3 linked regions of the Macaca mulatta genome follow. The protein of the gene in region 2 interacts with the protein of the main gene of each other region in a pairwise test. Links are inferred from orthologs where the notes say so. Each region holds a gene or a part of one and is shown on either strand. Other genes may lie near its edges.

Region 1 (3,749 bases), on a different chromosome or scaffold from region 2:
TTTAATGTTTCCATTTCCAAGTTCTCCACTTGCAGAAAATTTCACGCCGTCTTTTGCACAGGAAATTACAACAGCATCTCCAATATGGCTGAGATCTCGGCATATACGTGCAAATTCACCAGAAGGCATCTTTACTACACAGCTGTACTCTTGTTCCTATTAAGAACAAAAATTTTCCAAAAGTTACTTGTTAGAAATTTAATGATTTGGCACCCTCACTTTCTTAAAAGGCAACATCTAAACAACTCAGAATCAAGATTTTCTGATTACTGACTCGTGTAATTTCTTAACAAACTCCACTCAAAAAAAATAAATGGCTATTAAATGCACTGCCCAGGGAACAAGCGCCTCCTCCTCCTCATCCTCCAGGGATAAAGTAAGAGAACATTAGAGTATGCCACAGAAATGATGACGGCGCAAGCAGGTCTAACTATTTTCTAAAAGAAAACGAGAGAATATGATATTAGGCATTTTCAACATTCCAACATTTCTTCTCTCCTTTGGTGTTTATAAACCTAACCTGGATACATTTCTTCTAAGATAGCTTTCAAACCCACTTAACAAAAATCAAGCATCGGGCCGGGCGCGGTGGCTCAAGCCTGTAATCCCAGCACTTTGGAAGGCCGAGACAGGCGGATCACAAGGTCAGGAGATCGAGACCATCCTGGCTAACCTGGTGAAACCCCGTCTCTACTAAAAAATACAAAAAAAAAAAAAAAAAAAAAAAAAAAAAAACTAGCCGGGCGAGGTGGTGGGCGCCTGTAGTCCCAGCTACTCGGGAAGCTGAGGCAGGAGAATGGCGTAAATCTGGGTGGCAGAGCTTGCAGTGAGCTGAGATCCGGCCACAGCACTCCAGCCTGGGCGACAGAGCGAGACTCCGCCTCAAAAACAAAACAAAACAAAACAAAACCAACCATCCTAGAAGGAAGCAAATTTTAAAAGAGGTTCATGGAAATTAATGCAAATAGACAACTGGCAGTAAACAATAAATTTAACCAGTGAGTTTTAGACTTGTGGTAAACAACTATCCAAATACTAAAATCTCTTTAAAACATGCACCAGTAGATATGTTTCTAGAAAAAGTTCTGTTATGAAGTAGGCTTAAATTATATTAACTTATCTTGACGGAGGAGGATCATTGAGGCCAGGAGTTCCAGACCAGCCTGGGCAAGACTGCCCCCACACCCACACACAAAAATAAAAAAATTAGCCAGGCGTGGTGGGACAGATCTGTAGTCCTTCCTAGCCACTTAGGAGACTAAGTGGATTGCTTGAGCCCAGGAGTCCCAGGTTACAGTGAGCTATATGGCACCACTGCACTCCAGCCTGGGGAAAAGAGGAAGACCCTGTCTGTAAAAATAAACAACATTCTATGATATAACTATCATGCCTGTGTACAGCAGTCGCTACAATCAGAAACTGATACTCACTGGAATTCCAAGTTGTTCAACATCCAAATCCATCAACTTCATTTCATAGTCTGAAACTTTCTCCTGGTCTACCAAAAAAAAGCAAATGCTGTTGAGAAACACTGGCACAGAGTTTTGATCTTCTGTAGCTTCATAACTCAGTAAAAAGGTACGACTTACTGGGTGCTTCAAATACTAGCGCCAAGGTATCCGCATTATCTTCAGCCCTTAGTGTAATGATATCTTCATTGCCGGCGCATTTTAGTATTTTGGACATACTAGAAGACAGGAGACACATGGTTTAAAATCAACACCATCTACTGAAGGTCTGTATTTCTAATGCAGTTAGAAGGGGTTACCACTCTCACCCATAGGCCGTCTCAGAACTGGTGGAGGGTAATTGCACTGCTGGAGGATGCGAATATTAATGCAGACATTTTGGGATGCATCTGGCAGTATTTATACTAAAATACCACCAGCAGTTTCCCTTCTGGATAGAAACAATCTCCTGCCACTAAGTAGGATGACAGGCTGACACTTTTCTCGCAAGGGCACATTATAAAGCATTTAAAGTCAATCGCGACTGAGCCGGGAGGATCGCCTGAGCCCAGAAGTTGGAGACCAGCCCGGGCCAACACATCGAGACCGTCTCGGAAACAAAAAAGCCACAACTAAAGCGTCCATTCAAGGCCAACAGGATTTAGTGAGCAAAAGCTCTGGAGCAGTGTTCCTGGCACTGCAGAAAAACCAGTCATTTTCCCGCCACCACCCGCTTTGTGACTTTGGCGCGAAAAAGCAGGTTCGCGCAGCAGCCAGCGCGGGCTTTTCCGAACCGCGCGCTCAGCTGGGCCCCACCCCCCTGCATGGCAGGCCAATGAGAAGGTGCGGATGGTCCACGCCAGCCAATGAGGGCTCGGCTCGGAAGCGATCCCGCCAAACCCCGGAGGTGGGGGTGGGCCGGGGCCGGCTTCTCGACGCCGCGAGGCTCACCTGGTGAGGTTCACGCCCATAGCCAGGTTGCGGTCGCAGCGGTAGGTGTCGAAGCCCTCAGACCGCAGGGTGAGCTGCACCAAGGAGACGTGGGACGAGTCCATGCTCTGCAGATTTACGCCGCTGGAGCTAATATCCCAGCAGGCCTCGTTGATGAGGTCCTTGAGGGCCTCCAACACCTTCTTCAGGATGGAGCCCTGGACCAGGCGCGCCTCGAACATGGTGGCGGAGTGGCAGCAACGCGGCTACAGGCAGGCGGGAAGGAGGAAAGTCTAGCCGGTTTCCGCTTCAGGAGCCTCAGAGCGAGCGGGCGAACGTCGTGACGAGAAGCTGAGACCTAGAAACAGAACTACCAGTCTGCTACGCCTGCAACCGTTTAATGCCGCCGCGTCCGCCAGCGCGCGCTCTTACCCTGCGCCGCGTTGCGACGTCACCACGCTGCCCGGCCCACGGCCTGGGCGGGTTAGAATTTAGGGCCAATCGTGCCGATGCTCCCCGCGAGGCCCGCCCCCTAGGACATACATTGGAGGAAGCGGGTGCAGGGCGGGGCAGCGTCCCGCAGGTCTCCCCGCCTCTTCGCCTGACTCCTGAACCTGACCACTGAACAAGTCCGGGCATATGTGGGGATCCGGCCCAGGCCCCGGTTCGTCAAGCCCCAGCTTTATGGTGCCTCCTCAGCCTCCAGCTCCGTGGGTAGAAAGTTTCCAGCCACGAAAGTGAAAGTGAAAAGCAAATCCAGCCTACCGGGAGGAAAAGCCTCCTTGTAGCCTGAAGAGTACAGCTGCTGCAAATATGCACTTTATTTTTCAATTACAAAAGTGATGCGCTCCTAAGTGTCACACCATAAAGAGTTATGTTAAACTTAGCTCCCTCTCACCTCTTAACATTCCACTGCCAGCTCTTATAATCACTCAATCGTTCCTTGTATAAAGCTTTTAAAGCTTTTTTGAAAGTTCGAATACACTTTTTTTTTTCAAAATGCACTCATTCCGTAAACACTTCGAAAAAGTACTTAATAAAGTACATTTAATTTTATGCCACGTACATCTTTTTTATATCAGTACCTCTTTAAAAGATAGCATCACATGTATGTAACTTATCAATCTCCTGTTAATTACAAACACCTTTGAGCACTTAGGCAATTTTGGTGCTATCAACTCCTTGAAGTAATACAGCTGAGTCAAAGAGCGTACACATTTAATTTTTTTTCTTTTCTTTCTTTCTTTTTTTTTGAGATGGAGTCCTGCTCTGTCATTCAGGCTGGAGTGCAGTGGCGCGATCTCGGCTCACTGCAACCTCCGCCTCCCAGGTTCAAATGATTCTCCTGCCTCAGCCTCCCGAGTAGCTGGG
Region 2 (3,749 bases):
TTTAAATTAAATACAATTTAAGCAGTAATATGTATCGTTTCTGACATACATATATACGGCAAAAGTATAAAAACATGGGCATAAATGATGTATGACAATTTCAAAAGACTGTTTGCCTCTGGAGAGGGAGGAAGGAAAGGGAATGGTGTTGGGAGTGGAAATAAAAGAGATCTGAACTAAATCTGTGATGTTTTATTTCTTTAAAATAAAAAACTTGAACGGGTGTGCCAAAATGTTAATATTTATTAATCTGGTGAAACATAGATATTATACTACCCAATGTACTATTTTCTGTTTTTAAATTTTTTGTGATAATTTTTAATTTTTAAAAAGGTAATGGGCAGCAGAATGCATATGAATTGGGTGATCAGTTAAGAAACGCAATTCTCCAGATAAGAGATGAGGGTCTGAACTCCAGTCTTAGCTGTGTCAAGGGAGAAGGTGTTAGAAATGACACAAGTTTCTAGCTTAGTTGTCTGACCTGATGGTACTGCCCTTAAGAAAACAACTATTTAAATTTAATTTGTGCTATTCTGGATATTACACAAATAACCTAGAAGACTTGGATCAACTCTAACAGTTAGAATAGAGGGCAAATGGTAGTTGAAGCTGGCTGGCACCATTAGAAATGTTGCCCTTCAATCCCCCTTAGTAGCTTAAGAGTTCATGAGACATTGGTTTACATATGGTATGGCTTTAAAGTAAATAAGATAAATATTCCCAAGCTCTTTTAAGAATGGAGCTCACAATTTTATAAGCAAACTATACATTTTCTTACAAAGCATAGAAAGAAGAGCTGGGTATAGTATAGAGTGCTGCTATAGGGGAAGAGAGAACATCTAGTCATTTTCATCTTATTTCAATGTGATAATATCTGTGATAATTTCCCATATTAGAATGGCTAAATTATTGTTATTGAGTACAATACAATAAAATATTAAAACGGAAGTGTTTTTATTTACTGTTCACGCCATCAGTAAACCTTCTTTGAGAAGTGATGGCTTGGCCAACCTGATTTCAAGGGTAAGTCCATTTACTTAATATCTGTGGCATTTAAAGCAGGTAGATTGGAGTGGAAAAAAATAATTTAAATTTGAACCGTTCAGCAGCTGACAAGAGCAACTACAAGGCCAATGTTTTCCTTCTGTGCTCAATGCTGTGAGGTTTTTCTCTGGAAAGAGTTTGTTCAAAACCTTTTAGATGTGTGTGTTCATTTAACGATTGTTTCTACATACCCTTTCATCCAGCTGTCAGAGAAAATAGGAATAAATTGACTGATCCCTGCACAGGTAACCTAATGGATTAAAAACACAGTACTCATCACCAGGCTGATCATCATGAGTGAGAATACTAACGGCCACTATAAGATGACTTACTACCTAAGACAAATGTGGATTCCTCAGAGGGTAATGTGGCCTAAGTGCTGCTGCTGGTGGGAGATATCTCACCCATCCCCCGATTTTCACACTGACTCAAGCCCTTGAAAGCAACAGAAAACAGTGGGTTACAGGAGTGAAGTGCTCTTCTGGAACAGTTCTTTCCACTTTGCTTTATAGCTGTTTTCCAACCCTTCAAAAATAACTGGGCGGTTACTTTCACACTTTTATGTATCTACTTTAAATACTTCACTATCTTTTGAATTTTAAAATATTAGAATAACGCCTCTACCTTTGTAATGAGATAAAATGCAAGCCTGGGAAAAAAATCAGTTGCCAAGCTCCCAAAATGCCACCGATGTAGCATCTGCTCTTAACACGTTGATAGAAAAGGAGGATCAGTAAACCTAGGTCTCGTCCTTGCATCTCTCTCCTGGACGGTGTTGTGGGTTGGAACGGCTGCAGAGCCTCGGTCTCTCCGCTCTCTGCATCTCACAGCACTGCAGCCTGGGAACACTCTACTGGAACTCTAAGCTTCTCCCCAACTCTGTTGCAGATTCAAACTGGCGACAGGAAAACGATACCCCCTATGTCTCGTCTTCAGAATGTTCACCTGGCCACCTCCCAGTAGCTGGAGAGGGATTAAGGTCTTGATCATAAGAGATCTGAATCAGGCACTGACACTTCCTTTTCTTAAGAGTATGAAACACAGAACAGCCCTTCCTTCTCTGCCTCACATTAAGTATTTATTAGCCGGGCCTTGGGGCCAGATCAGCGGTAAGGGCGGTCTGCGAGGTCCGTGCACCGCCGTCCGCCCACGCCTTCTTCCAACCACCTCAGCCCGACCCGCCACTTTTCTCCCTTCTCCGCAGCCGCCCTGCTTTCCTCACCTCTGCCCGCCTCACCTGGATCCCACTGTCCACCCAGGCAGTACTCACACCTCAGATTCCGGCCGGTTCCAGCCCACCGGGCTCCAGTTTACTTAGGGCGAATCACAAGTGGGCTTTCATTCAGGTGATTTAACATTCACTAATCAGCGTCGCTCTCTCAACGCCCAACTTCTTCCTTATTAGCTTACGCCTAGCGCGGCTCCCGGCAACGCCGAGCGCGGTGGGTTGGCTCGTCACCCTTTGTTACGCCCTCCGATTGGTCGGTGCCTGTCGGCCCTTGGCCCGACCTCAGTTCGGTTGGGTAGCAGCGGTCCGAGCTGCACGCCACACCCCCCCATGTCAATCACATAATCTCTCCGTAACTCGTTGGGCCATTGGTCAGTCTAGCCCGAGGGCGGGTTGTTGGGCGGAAGAGAGAGGCTTCTTCCGGCCCACTCGCTGTCACCATAGAGATTGCGCATCCAGGCTGCGAAGCGGCGGGGCTGGGAAGCTCAGATCTCAAACTCCGGAGAGCTGCACAGTTGTCTAGACGTAAGTGCGTTTTCTGGGGTCTGATGAACATCTCACTCCCCAACCCACTGGCTCGAGTGGGGCGCAAGATGTGGGGGACAAGTCAGCTTAGGCCCGGTCATTAGGTGCTCCAACAACCCTCCTGGAGGGAACTGAGGACGAAGTACCAGTTATAATAACAGCACGCTTCATTTATCTTTATCTCGCCTTATTTTATTTGGCATTTAATTCTTCCATTAGCCTTGCGAAGCAGACTAAGGCAAGGATCATTCTACCCACGGGACAGACTGGGGAAGCGGCCCTGGGTCCATCAAGTAAACCCTCTGCCGCCAGGCTGCTGGAACTGGAGTTGGCCCACGCTATTGGCAGACTGCTGTTACCTTACTGCCAACTAAAGCTTGCCATGACTTTGCTTTGAGGCTATGGCCTGTTAGACCAAAAGATGCATCAATCAGGACAACCAAAGGAAGTAGGACAGACAGGCTACGTGCTCCACCACTGAATCAAGAAGGGAAAACAAAAATCAATACCAAATTGGAGAGTTGCACCGTTTGAACCTTTGACCCTAAACAAAATTCAGAAATACCATGAAGCAAACTATTCAATCTTAGAGCACTGCATCTCTGATTGAAGGAATTCTCCTGAATCACAGCTTTATGAACCAAAAAGAAGAAGATGCTTGAATTTCATCAACTGCACCTCTCAAATTTATTCTACTTTCAAGGCTTCATTTGCAGTCATATAACATAACCAATGATTTGTTGTGTGTTTAGCAACTTAACATTACTTGGCCCAGTGAGAAGCTCTGTGGCTAAGAAATCCATTATTTTGATGAATTCATTTCACTGGAATTGAGTGTTGACTGCAGCTATGTTCTGTCAGGAACTGTGAAGATATACCGGAAATGAGATGTGACTCCTGTCTTAATAGCCTGTGGTTTTGTAATGTTAGGTCAACAACACATGAAACAACT
Region 3 (3,649 bases), about 110 Mb from region 2:
GAGACAGGGGTGGGCTGAACCAAGAAAGTAGGGATGCTATCTGCCCACGACTGGAGGGGAAGAGCCCTTCCCCTGGACACCTACCCGGTGTCACTTTGAGGAACTGGTTCACCTCCGGAGGCTCTGCTTTGATCACTGGCAGCTGAGTCATCTCTCCTGGGGCCTGAGGAACAGACAAGCCCAGCTCCATTAGCTGCCCCTGGGTCTGTCCCCAGCATGCCATCTACCCACCTCCTCCTTAAGTCTGGTGGCCTGCCCTGCACAGTTGGGGAAGTGGCTGGGCTTGGAGTTCTGGGCACAGTTGCAAGGGAACAGAGGCAAGTTCTTGAGCCTAGGAAAGCCAAGTTACACCTAAGAGAAAGGACTGGTGGCCAAGTAATGTAGCTCAGACCTTAAGCTCAGAGAAGGTGAGCCTCTGAGGGTGGGGCCACCTTCCACACCAACTGTGAAGGCCACACAGGCTTTGGTATGTGGGTTGCCATGAGGACAAGAACAAGAGGTAATGTCTGGAATAGTGTAGCTGTTCAATGGCTGGTAGCAATAGTACAGAAGAAGGAGGCATTAATTGGCTGGGGGCTCCGAGGACGCTCCCTGAGAAGTCAAAGTCTGAAATGAGTCCCGGGGTATAAATAGAAGTAGAATCCAGACAAAGAAGTTGGAGGCAATGAGAGCTCCTAATGGATTTGAAGCAAGGGCCTGATAGAATCAGATGGACATTTTTAACAAACATGCATTTCTCTTTATTTCTATTCTGACTTGTGGTTCCAGAAAGGACTTCAAGAACATGCATGGCTTTGTACACATGACTACCGACATGCATGTAAGTGGTGCTCTCTCTGAGGAAGGCATGGTGTTGGGGGCTGGATTTCAGGCCCTGGGCTGCAGCCCCAGAGAGAAGATCGTGATATTGTGGGTGGGACGCAGAATCCAGAATGTAGGCTGATGAGTAAGAATCCCAGAAAGTTCAAGTTGGCAGGGACCTTGGAGACTCCTTGGTCCACATCCCAGCTGATCCCTCGAGTGAGAGGGGACTGTGGTGCAGAGAACTCACTGTTGACAATGCCAGCTCCTGTGCCTTCTACTAGGGGTTATGACCTCCCCTGTGTGGGCTTCAGGGTCTGGCAGGCCGAATTTGGAAGGCAGGTCAGTTGCTTCTAACTGCATGATTTTGGGCAAATTGCTTAACCCCTTGAGCCTCGGTTTCCCTGTCTGAAGCCTCCTCGCCTCTGGCTGCTGCTGCTGTCACTCCTTTGGCAAAGCCTGAGGAGTCTCAGAACCAGTCTTGGAGACGGTTTCAAAAGATCCTGCATATTTGCCACCAACCCTTGATCCCATGGGTCTGTGGTGGGGCAGACAGGGGCTGACCTTTCTTGCTTCGGCCACCTACAGTTTGAGCAAGTGAGCCGTGTGGCCAGCAGGGGGCAGGGCCAGCCACGTTCCCATCTAGGGATTTTAAGATGCTGCTCATCCTGTGGAATCCTAGGGCTAGAGGCACCTTAGGGGGTTCATGAGCCCATTTTACAGAGAAGGAGGACACGGAACGTGCCCAGAACACAGAGGAGGCTCCGAGTTGGGACTCAGGCAGGGCCTTGGCTAGGAGCCAGGGGTCTGGGGTTCACATTCCCAGAGGGGTCTTGGGTTTATAGCTGAATGCTGTCATCTACACATTTGTGGAGGTGGGAGCTCAGCCTGAGAGTGTGGGTTAAAAATATTAATCTCATAAATGTAAACAATTGGAATATAGCACACTTTTTTTTTTTTTTTTTGTAATTTCCATTTTGGTCTTTCTTTTTTAAAAATCCGGAAGCTTTGAGAAAAGTCATCTGCCTGGACTGTCTCTACCTCTGAGACCCTGGACTGGGCTCCTGATGCCAGCCCTGCAAGTTGTCTTTTTCTGCACAGGCGAGAGCCTTTGTTACTCCAAGGGGGCTGTGGCTTGTGCCCGTTGCAGGATGGTGAAGGGGCAGCCAGTGGAGCAGGCGGAGGCCTGGGCTGGGCTGAGGCTTCCCACCCTCAGCCCTGAGGCTCCTGTCTTCCTGTTCACAGAGCCCTGGGGCACAGGGCTTTGGGCAACTCTTCCCGCAGACCCACCAGCCCTCCTCCCTCCCTCAGCCCTTACAAACCATCCCCAGGCTCACCTGGTGGGGGATGGGCAGCCTGGACAACGGGCTGAGGCCCAGCAGCGGGGTGGTGGCCATGGCGGCCGCGGCAGACATGGCCGAGGGGGCAGCCAGGGGGTCCACAGGCAGCTCCGGGCTCTGCTCCTGCTTCACCATGATGGAGCACAGTTTGTGTCCCAGCGCCCACGCTCCATGCTCCACGTCTAGGGGAAGGGGAAAGGCTCAGGGGACTCCAGGGCAGAGGTCTCAGTCCCCTGCCTGCCCTCTGGGAGCTGCTCTAGGCTGAACTGAAGAGAGCTGTTGGGATATACCAGGGGCAGGCGGGAAAGAGGGTGGTTGTGAGGTGAGGGGGAATTGTCTTGGGCCAGAAGAGGGGAGGACATCCTCTTCATTCAGCAGCTTACAGAATGAGCTTGGGCACCAGATTCACACTCCTCTTGATTGGCTGTGTGACCTTAGGCTAGTTGCTTAACCTCTCTGAGCCTGAGCTTCTTCATCTGTAAAATGGGGAAAGAACCTAATAGAGAATTCTGAGGCTTAAGTAGTATAATGTACATAAGACACTTAACACTGTGAGTGTTAATACTTAACACTGGTGAGAAGCAAATGTTCAGGCTGGGTGCCGTGGCTCACTCCTGTAATCCCAGCACTTTGGAAAGTCAAGACAGGCAGAACGCTTGAGCCCAGGAATTCGTAACCAGCCTGGGAACCATGGCGAAATCCCATCTCTACCAAAAATAAACACACACAAAATTAGCTGGGTGTGGTGGTGTGTGCCTATAATCCCAGCTACTCAGGAGGCTGAGGTGGGAGAATCACTTGAGTGGCCAGGTGCAGTGGCCCACACCTGTACTCCAGTTCTTTGAGAGGCCAAGGCAGGCGGATCGCTTGAGTCCAGGAGATCGAGACTAGCCCGGACAACATGGTGAAAGCCCGTCTCTACTAAAAATACAAACATTAGCCAGTTGTGGCGGCACATGCCTGTAGTCCCAGCTACTGGGGAGGCTGAGGCAGGAGAATCGCTTGAACCCGGGAGGCAGAGGTTGCAGTGAGCTGAGATCGTGCAACTGTACTCCAGCCTGGGCACAGAGTGAGACTCTGTCTCAAAAAAAAAAAAAAAAAAAAAAAGAGAGAGAGAATTGCTTGGGAGGCGGAGGTTGCAGTGAGCCAAGATTGCGCTACTGCACTCCAGCCTAGACAGAGTGAGACTCTGTCTCGGAAAAAAAAAAGAAAAAAAAGGAATAAGTGTTCAATAAACACAAGCCAGTGTTAAAATACAGCTATTGTTATTTAGTAAACATTTGCTGAGAACTGTGCTAGGTGCTGGGGATATAGGAAGAGTCACAAGCAGTTTAGCAAAGTTGGAATGCAAAGGGGAGTGGAAGATGGAGTCAGAGAGGCTACTGGGGGTGACTTGGCCTTGGAGGCTGGGTTAGTTCAGATATGTGACTTTATCCTAAAGCAAATGGGGAGCCACTGAAGAGTTTTGCATGTGCTCAAATTTATAATTTTTTTTTAGGTGTTTTTTT

What was found.
Region 1: the proteins of TMEM218 (region 2) and PCNA interact in binary tests that used the Homo sapiens proteins (3 or more experiments, as listed by UniProt). The link is inferred for Macaca mulatta from reciprocal best matches to the Homo sapiens genes TMEM218 and PCNA.
Region 3: the proteins of TMEM218 (region 2) and CREB3L1 interact in binary tests that used the Homo sapiens proteins (3 or more experiments, as listed by UniProt). The link is inferred for Macaca mulatta from reciprocal best matches to the Homo sapiens genes TMEM218 and CREB3L1.

The regions. Positions count from the first base shown.
Region 1 is NC_133415.1:78,833,890-78,837,638, reverse strand, and holds the start of PCNA (proliferating cell nuclear antigen), read right to left. Parts: upstream 2,813-3,749; 5' UTR 2,621-2,812; coding exon 2,400-2,620; intron 1,688-2,399; coding exon 1,590-1,687; intron 1,499-1,589; coding exon 1,431-1,498; intron 157-1,430; coding exon 1-156. UniProt on the Homo sapiens protein: Auxiliary protein of DNA polymerase delta and epsilon, is involved in the control of eukaryotic DNA replication by increasing the polymerase's processibility during elongation of the leading strand.
Region 2 is NC_133419.1:125,513,766-125,517,514, forward strand, and holds the start of TMEM218 (transmembrane protein 218), read right to left. Parts: upstream 2,361-3,749; 5' UTR 2,315-2,360; exon of another isoform or gene 2,267-2,314; intron 1,295-2,266; exon of another isoform or gene 1,236-1,294; intron 1-1,235. UniProt on the Homo sapiens protein: May be involved in ciliary biogenesis or function.
Region 3 is NC_133419.1:19,302,839-19,306,487, forward strand, and holds part of CREB3L1 (cyclic AMP-responsive element-binding protein 3-like protein 1), read right to left. Parts: intron 2,324-3,649; coding exon 2,139-2,323; intron 164-2,138; coding exon 85-163; intron 1-84.